Oryzias latipes: one gene and its partner. The protein of the gene in region 1 purifies or fractionates together with the protein of each later gene. This does not show direct contact. Links are inferred from orthologs where the notes say so. Each region holds a gene or a part of one and is shown in the gene's direction. Other genes may lie near its edges. The genes, in order: ptpro and sdf2l1.

Region 1 (3,810 bases):
AGGTGGGATGTTGGTGTCAGAGGTGGGATGTTGGTGTCTGTGGTGGGATGTTGTGTTACTGATGTTGGTGTCAGTGGTGGTATGTTGTGTTACTGATGTTGGTGTCAGTGGTGGGATGTTGGTGTCAGAGGTGGGATGTTGTGTGTCTGATGTTGGTGTCAGTGGTGGGATGTTGGTGTCAGTGGTGGGATGTTGTGTGTCTGATGTTGGATGTAGTGTGTCAGAGGTGGGATGTTGGTGTCAGAGGGGGGATGTTGTGTGTCTGATGTTGGTGTCAGTGGTGGGATGTTGGTGTCAGTGGTGGGATGTTGTGTGTCTGATGTTGGATGTAGTGTGTCAGAGGTGGGATGTTGGTGTCAGAGGTGGGATGTTGTGTGTCTGATGTTGGTGTCAGTGGTGGGATGTTGGTGTCAGTGGTGGGATGTTGTGTGTCTGATGTTGGATGTAGTGTGTCAGAGGTGGGATGTTGGTGTCAGAGGGGGGATGTTGTGTGTCTGATGTTGGTGTCAGTGGTGGGATGTTGGTGTCAGTGGTGGGATGTTGTGTGTCTGATGTTGGATGTAGTGTGTCAGAGGTGGGATGTTGGTGTCAGAGGTGGGATGTTGTGTGTCTGATGTTGGTGTCAGTGGTGGGATGTTGGTGTCAGTGGTGGGATGTTGTGTGTCTGATGTTGGATGTAGTGTGTCAGAGGTGGGATGTTGTGTGTCTGATGTTGGTGTCAGTGGTGGGATGTTGGTTTCAGAGGTGGGATGTTGTGTCTCTGATTTTGGATGTAGTGTGTCAGAGGTGGGATGTTGGTGTCAGAGGTGGGATGTTGTGTGTCTGATGTTGGTGTCAGTGGTGGGATGTTGTGTTACTGATGTTGGTGTCAGTGGTGGTATGTTGTGTTACTGATGTTGGTGTCAGTGGTGGGATGTTGGTGTCAGAGGTGGGATGTTGTGTCTCTGATTTTGGATGTAGTGTGTCAGAGGTGGGATGTTGGTGTCAGAGGTGGGATGTTGTGTGTCTGATGTTGGTGTCAGTGGTGGGATGTTGGTGTCAGTGGTGGGATGTTGTGTGTCTGATGTTGGATGTAGTGTGTCAGAGGTGGGATGTTGGTGTCAGAGGTGGGATGTTGTGTGTCTGATGTTGGTGTCAGAGGTGGGATGTTGTGTGTCTGATGTTGGTGTCAGTGGTGGGATGTTGGTGTCAGTGGTGGGATGTTGTGTGTCTGATGTTGGATGTAGTGTGTCAGAGGTGGGATGTTGTGTGTCTGATGTTGGTGTCAGTGGTGGGATGTTGGTTTCAGAGGTGGGATGTTGTGTGCCTGATGTTGGTGTCAGTGGTGGGATGTTGGTGTCAGTGGTGGGATGTTGTGTGTCTGATGTTGGTGTCAGTGGTGGGATGTTGGTGTCAGAGGTGGGATGTTGGTGTCAGAGGTGGGATGTTGTGTGTCTGATGTTGTGTGTCAGAGGTGGGATGTTGTGTGTCAGAGGTGGGATGTTGTGTGTCTGATGTTGGTGTCAATGGTGGGATGTTGGTGTCAGTGGTGGGATGTTGTGTTACTGATGTTGGATGTAGTGTGTCAGAGGTGGGATGTTGTGTGTCTGATGTTGGTGTCAGTGGTGGGATGTTGTGTGTCAGATGTTGTGTGTTGGATGAGATTGCTCCTCCCTAGAAGGATCTACACGGTGGCGTTCTCTCAGTTCCACCTGGAGGTCATGAAGGTCACATCTGTCCTTCTGCTTCCAGCCCGGTGCAGTTGGACGACTTTGAGGCGTACTTTAAAGACATGGGCAAAGACTCCGCCTACAAGTTCTCCCTGCAGTTTGAGGTAAGAGCTCTCCGCTGTGATTGGACAGTTTCAGTGAACACGATGCTCCTCCCACAAAGGTCACCTTTAACGGGCTCCAAGATCAGAAGCAGAATCTAAAGTTTTCTGTCACTTTCACGATGACATCACAGATGATGTCTGATGTCATCCAATGAGCTGGTTCAGCGACCAGCATGTTCGGATGTTGGGACGTGCTGCTGAGTCGGCATTCCTCAGTCTGTGGATGTTTGCAGGAGCTGAAGAGCGTCGGTCTGGACCTGAGCCACGACGCCGCGGACCTCCCGGTCAACAGGCCCAAGAACAGATACACCAACATCCTGCCCTGTGAGTTCTCCTCTGGAGGAGGAGCTGCTGCTCTCTTTCGTCGGGAGTCTGATCACCTCCTCTTTTCCAGACGACTTCAGTCGGGTGAAGCTGATCTCGTTGCACAACGATGAAGGTGCAGACTACATCAATGCCAACTACATCCCCGTGAGTCCCTAAAGCTCCGCCCCTCACACAGACCCTTAGCTCTCCACCAGGTGGAGCTGTTGACACCTGCTTGAACTTTTTGAGGATCTTGGATCAAAGTTCTTCTCAGTGAAGCTGCCGTTTGGTCTTCAGGGCTACAAACACTCCAGGGAGTACATCGCCACCCAGGGGCCGCTGCCCGAGACGCGCGTCGACTTCTGGAAGATGGTTCTGCAGCAGAAAGCGCCCATCATCGTCATGCTGACTCAGTGCAACGAGCGGCGGCGGGTGAGCGCTCGCACCGATGACCTTCAGACACGGAGATGAAGACCAGCCGGTGCTCAGACGGGGATGCTAACGTCACGCTGTCCTGCAGGTGAAGTGCGATCACTACTGGCCCTTCACGGACGAGCCAGTGATGTACGGCGAGATCAGCGTGGAGATGCTGTCCCAGAGCGAGTCCCAGGAGTGGATCACCCGCAAGTTCAGGCTGGAATACGTGAGTCCGTTCACCTGCGGGTCTGCAGCGCGGCAGGAGGCCGAACCCCCTCTGACCCCCCCCCCCCCCCCTCCCCTCCCCCCAGGCGGACGAGACGCAGGACGTCCTGCATCTGAACTACACATCGTGGCCGGATCACGGCGTTCCCACCGTCAACGCCATCGAGAGCATCCTGCAGTTTGTCCACATCGTCCGGCAGCAGGCCAACCGGACCAAAGACCCCATCATCGTCCACTGCAGGTCAGGGGGGGGGGGGGTGACAGACGTTCACCAGAACCAGATTTTAAGGGTCGTACTGAATCCATCAGAATCTGAGGGTTTTCTTTGGCGCCGTTCGTGACCTGACGCTTCACAAACAAGCGGATTCAGTTCATCTCTGTTTAGCTCTGCTTTTATTTTGCTAAAATGCTTTTATTTTGGAAAGAGCTTGGGAATGCTTGAATGTTTTAAAAAAATAACTCTTCCAGCTTTAAAATGAAATCATCCCAGAGCGACTGAAAGAATTTCATCCGAAACATTTCACGATCGTGACAGAACCTTTGAGCAGAACCCCCATGTTTGTGTTTCAGCGCCGGGGTGGGCCGCACCGGGACCTTCATCGCTCTGGACCGCCTCATGCAGCACATGAGGGAGCACGAGTTCGTGGACATCCTGGGGATGGTGTCTGAGATGAGGTCCCACCGGCTGTCCATGGTCCAGACGGAGGTCAGAGCCGATTCCCGGCAAACCACTGACCCACAGCCACTGCTGTTACTGTGTGTCCTCTCTGGGCTTCCGTAGCGGAGCCCGGGGCCTCACTGCCGCTGTGTTGTGTTCAGGAGCAGTACGTCTTCATCCATCAGTGCGTCCTGCTCATGTGGCAGAAGAAGAAGCAGCAGTCCATCACCTCGGACGTCATCTACGAGAACGCCAGCAAGACATAGAGCGCCGTCTGTAGACGTGAGTGCCCACCCGCCCTCCCACCCGCTTCCATCACAGGAGCTACCGGTGCCTGCTTGGTCCAAACTTGATCTAAAACCTGAGCTACCTGACCCTTCAGGGCCTCAGA
Region 2 (4,582 bases), on another chromosome or scaffold:
ACTTCACCAAAGTTTTTTTTTTTTTATATGTATTTACTTGATACAGGGACAGCACATATTAATAGACATTCCTGTCAATATGCCAGTTAGCCAAAGGGCTATTTTCCATCTGCAGTCCCTAGGTAGATGTTTAAAATCAAACATTGTAACATTTTTTACAAACATTATTGTAAATTTAGTCAAAGGAATTGTAAGGCATTGTAAATTTTAAAAATATTGTTCTGCTCTGCAGAAAATTTAACTCGAGGCATCCATCATACATAGCAAGACAAAACAGAACAATAATACAATTTCATTAGTTGTAAGTGACCAAACAGGACCCCAATAAGACACAGTAGACATGACGATTGCCTGAAGATATGTTACAGAAACTGACAGAGACAAATGTGGCCTGATTTTACTCGCAGCCTGTGCTGAAACACAACAGGAAATATGCTAAATGCTATTAAATAAGAAATTCATAGTCAGCCAAACCATTTTCTCATTGCTGAAATGCAGATATTAAAAAAGTTAACAGAAAAAAGTTCCAAAGAATTGGGTCTTGTCCCTATTGAATGGTGGAGAAAGCACTGAACTAATGCTTTTCTTTACAAAGACAAGAAATAGTTAATAGCTTATTGCACTGTATGTTATTTATTTCTGACAGTTTACAGGAGCCAGACTGGTCCAGAGGCTTGTCACCATGCAAAGATGATCCTGGTGCTGCTCCCCTCAGATGTAAACAAAACCAAGACCAGGAACAGTTTGGCCTTGGAGGAAACTTTATCATCGATAATGACATTTAAAACAGCAGGCCTTGAGCCGTGTTTCAAGTGGGAGCCATTTACTAGAATTCTCAACGCCTCATAAACCGCCAAAGGTCATTACTAGAGGGAACAGAGTTTTAAATTTGCCTTGTGTCTGGTCTTAGTATGTAGTTTAGTTTGTTCCTCATGTTTTTAAAGTGAATCATTGATTTTTGTTGCTCTTTCAATTTTCTTTTTTTTTACCTCGTGGTGCTTTATTTAAAGAATTACACTGTCACAAAACTACCCTAGACTGGTCTTAGGACTTGCTGACGTATAGAGACTTATTTTTCCTGAGTCTCACTCCAAGCTTTTATGAAAAGTTGGCAGCCCTGCATAAATGAATAACAGAAGAAAAATAAATGAAAGCATGATTAAAATCTTCGTAAACGCTAACAAATATTTTTGAAACAAACCATTCAAAAAGTATTCCTTGACAAATGTATAAATGAATGAATCAATCGATACAAACAAAAAATAAATATTCGATTGACTAATTTATTCTTTGAATTAATTATTTGATGAATAATGAATGTATCAATAATTAATGGATCAATGAGTGAGTGTGAAAAGAACAATTTAATGAATGAACGTTGAAAAGGGATCCTTCAGTCCTTCACTTCCTGTTTGTCACCAATGTTGTGACGGCACATCGGCGCGCAGTGACCAATCACGGGCGAGAACGAGCCCACGTGACAGGGACTTGGCACGTCGTGATTGGTGGAGTGCGGGAGGAAAGTCCCGCCTGCTGGTGCCGGTGTGTTTGAGTCAGGTCAGAGATGGATGCTGCTGTCGCTTTTCGCGGGATTGTTGCCTCGGTTCTGTCGGTTCTGCTGCTACTGAGCTCCGGCTGCGGCGCCAAAGAACCGGAACTCAACCACGTGACGTGCGGCTCCCTGGTGAAGCTGCTGAACACGCGCCATAACGTCCGGCTGCATTCACACGACGTCAAGTATGGTTCAGGTAAGAGACCGTCACCGTTCACTGAGGAGGTGCCGGTTCTGTTCAGAAACTGGACTTCTTTAAAGCGAAAGTACAGCAGTCAATCCAGAACCCAGCAGACCCGTTTCACATGTGGACTGAAAGGGCCGAACTACGGAGGTTCTGCTCACCCTGCGGAGGGTTTCTGCGTACAGGGGCGTCACAAGCCTCTCTGGGGGCTGGGGGGGCAAACAAGGGCCCCTTTAACAGGTGTTCACCACCTACAATTCATCATTTCAAATAATTTATGCAAAAAGTTAGTATCCTGTTTGAAAAACAAATCATTAAAATATGAACAAAACCAGAACAATAAGCATTACCAGAATAATAATGTAAATAAATGTGACAACAAATATTTATTATTGGGAGAGGGGGGGTAATCATTTGCCTGGATCACAGATGGGCATGTGGTGCCGCTGCCATTCCGGTTCTGGGGGTCTCTCGGATTTACTATGATTTTGAATACTTTGATTTAAAAAAAAAGGTTTTAAATTCCAAACAAGTAACAGTTAAATGACACAAACGTGCAAAATATTAAAGCTCATTAGTGTTTCTGCTGTGGTCTCATGGGGGTCATTTGGGGGTGCAGATAATTCATAATATAGGTGGACCACACAGGATTCAATGTATAAAGTTATGTTTGTACCTCTGGAGTAAAAACAAAAAGCAAAAATAAAATCTGAACTGTTGCTGCAGACTAACCAGTGGAACAGGAGCGCATGAGTGTGGCTGCTGCACTGCTGCCCCCTTCTGGTGAAATATGAAACTGCTTTTTGTTGGATGCATTTTATTTAAGCTCCGCCCAACAGTACTGGCAATCATATTTAATACTTACGTCCTACTATAACCGCGTTCCTAGTAGTCTTTTAATCAGGATTATGATGTTTTTTCAATCCATAATCAATACAAATGTGTCGTTTTCTAGGACATAACTCGCCCCCCCCCGTCTCTCACTGTTGCTGACGCTCTCTCCTGCTAGCTTACAGCCCTTCACAACCCCAAGCTAGCATTGGCGGTGCGAAAAAATGGCGATCAGTATCAGAGCCATCCAGGTGTGACGTTTTCAGCCTGATTCAAGCTCGGACCAGGAAAACAAAGAGCTTGTGGCCCCGCCCACTTACTTTCTGTCACAAATCTTTTTCCAGCTGCATCTTTTCGTCGGCTCCAGAATCACAAAGATTTTGATTGAAAAAATGTAGACACGCCTCCATTAGAACAAACCGAACCACTCCCCTCAGGTGCTGTTCACGCAACACAAAGACCATCCCTGAGTTCCTGTGAGGCGTTCATGAACCTCTGAGGGATTTTCCAACCCCACAGGTGGTCTTCCTGGTCCGGACCCTGATGGGTCTTTGATTCAGAGACTCTTTTGAGCAGAGACCTGCTTTATCTGGACCCCACAAGATAGCACAAGGGGTAATATTTTCATTGTTCACCTGTGCGTGTGTGTTTGTGTGTGCAGGCAGCGGGCAGCAGTCTGTAACCGGGGTGGAGACCGCCGAGGACGCCAACAGTTACTGGCAGATCCGGGGGAAACCGGACCGTCCGTGTCAGCGCGGGTCGCCCATCAAGTGCGGCCAGGCCGTCCGCATCACGCACATGAAGACGGGCCGGAACCTCCACTCCCATCATTTCAGTTCCCCGCTGTCCAACAACCAGGTAAGCGGCTCCCTTTGCTGAGGGGGAGGGGTCTAAACTGGTTCTGCTCGGGTTCTGGTGTCGGGCACAGTGGGGTGTTCCCGTGGTGCTGTTGTGGTCCGGATCAGCAGGTCACCGATCCGTGTCTCGCGTCCCGCAGGAGGTCAGCGCCTTTGGCGAGAACGGCCAGGGCGACGACCTGGACGTGTGGACGGTCCAGTGCGACGGCGTGCTGTGGGAGCGAGACGAGGCGGTGCGGTTCAAGCACGTGGGCACCGAGGTGTTCCTGAGCGTCACGGGCGAGCAGTACGGACACCCCATCCGAGGCCAGCGCGAGGTGCACGGCATGAGCTCCCCCACCCAGCACAGCTGGTGGCGCACCATGGAGGGGGTCTTCATCCAGCCCAGCATGGAGCCGCTGCGCCACGACGAGCTCTGACCTCAGCGCCAGGCGCCGCGCTCCCGGATGTAAATACAAACTGCTGACGCCACGCCTTCCTCGGCGTGGGGGGGTGGGGGTTATGGTAGGCGAATTTTGGTTGTTTTATGAACTTAAGGATGACGGAAGGAGCCGCCCCCGCTTCACATTGATTGCACCGTCCTGCAGGGGGCGCCACGCTGCCTCGCCGTCCTCGGCTGCTGTCTGTCAAACAGGCTTTTAGGGTCCCGTTTGCAGGTTTTTTGGATCATCAGAAGCAGTTCTGCGCCCCCCCTCAGTGACCCCTCCCGTGCAGCTCAGACTGCAGCAGCCGCTGGGCTCAGACTCCGCCTCCTCTCAACTCTCTGCTGACCTTTTTGAACTGAAGTGAAGATTTTTTTCTTTTTTTTGCATAAATGTTCACCCCCTTCAGCTCTCAGGCATAAAAACTACACTTCCCAGGATGCAACTTCCCACCCGTCACGGTTTGGTCGGTCTTACTGGTTCATTTCTGTTTGTCAGTAGATGTTGGCGTTTGTAGAATGAGGGTGGGGCTGTTTTTATTTCAGGGAGCAACAATAAATGTTTGTGTCAGTCATTTCTCATGAATGGTGTTTGTCTCTCCCCCCCCCCCCCCCCCCCCACACACACACACACACACAAACACCAGGCTCATCTGAGGATGTTGTCTTTAATGATTGGAACAGAAACTGAAACCCATTGAGAGGAAGGTCCGTGGATCAGAACTTGTGTGCAGTTC

The links.
Region 2: the proteins of ptpro (region 1) and sdf2l1 purify together in Homo sapiens (affinity purification with mass spectrometry; 3 studies listed by BioGRID and IntAct, with this or other methods). This does not show direct contact. The link is inferred for Oryzias latipes from reciprocal best matches to the Homo sapiens genes PTPRO and SDF2L1.

Annotation. Positions count from the first base shown.
Region 1 is NC_019881.2:23,563,718-23,567,527, forward strand, and holds part of ptpro (receptor-type tyrosine-protein phosphatase O), read left to right. Parts: intron 1-1,731; coding exon 1,732-1,813; intron 1,814-2,046; coding exon 2,047-2,137; intron 2,138-2,207; coding exon 2,208-2,284; intron 2,285-2,416; coding exon 2,417-2,551; intron 2,552-2,639; coding exon 2,640-2,762; intron 2,763-2,847; coding exon 2,848-3,002; intron 3,003-3,331; coding exon 3,332-3,467; intron 3,468-3,580; coding exon 3,581-3,685; 3' UTR 3,686-3,701; intron 3,702-3,810.
Region 2 is NC_019867.2:30,356,026-30,360,607, forward strand, and holds sdf2l1 (stromal cell-derived factor 2-like protein 1), read left to right. Parts: upstream 1-1,507; 5' UTR 1,508-1,564; coding exon 1,565-1,748; intron 1,749-3,228; coding exon 3,229-3,425; intron 3,426-3,564; coding exon 3,565-3,843; 3' UTR 3,844-4,422; downstream 4,423-4,582.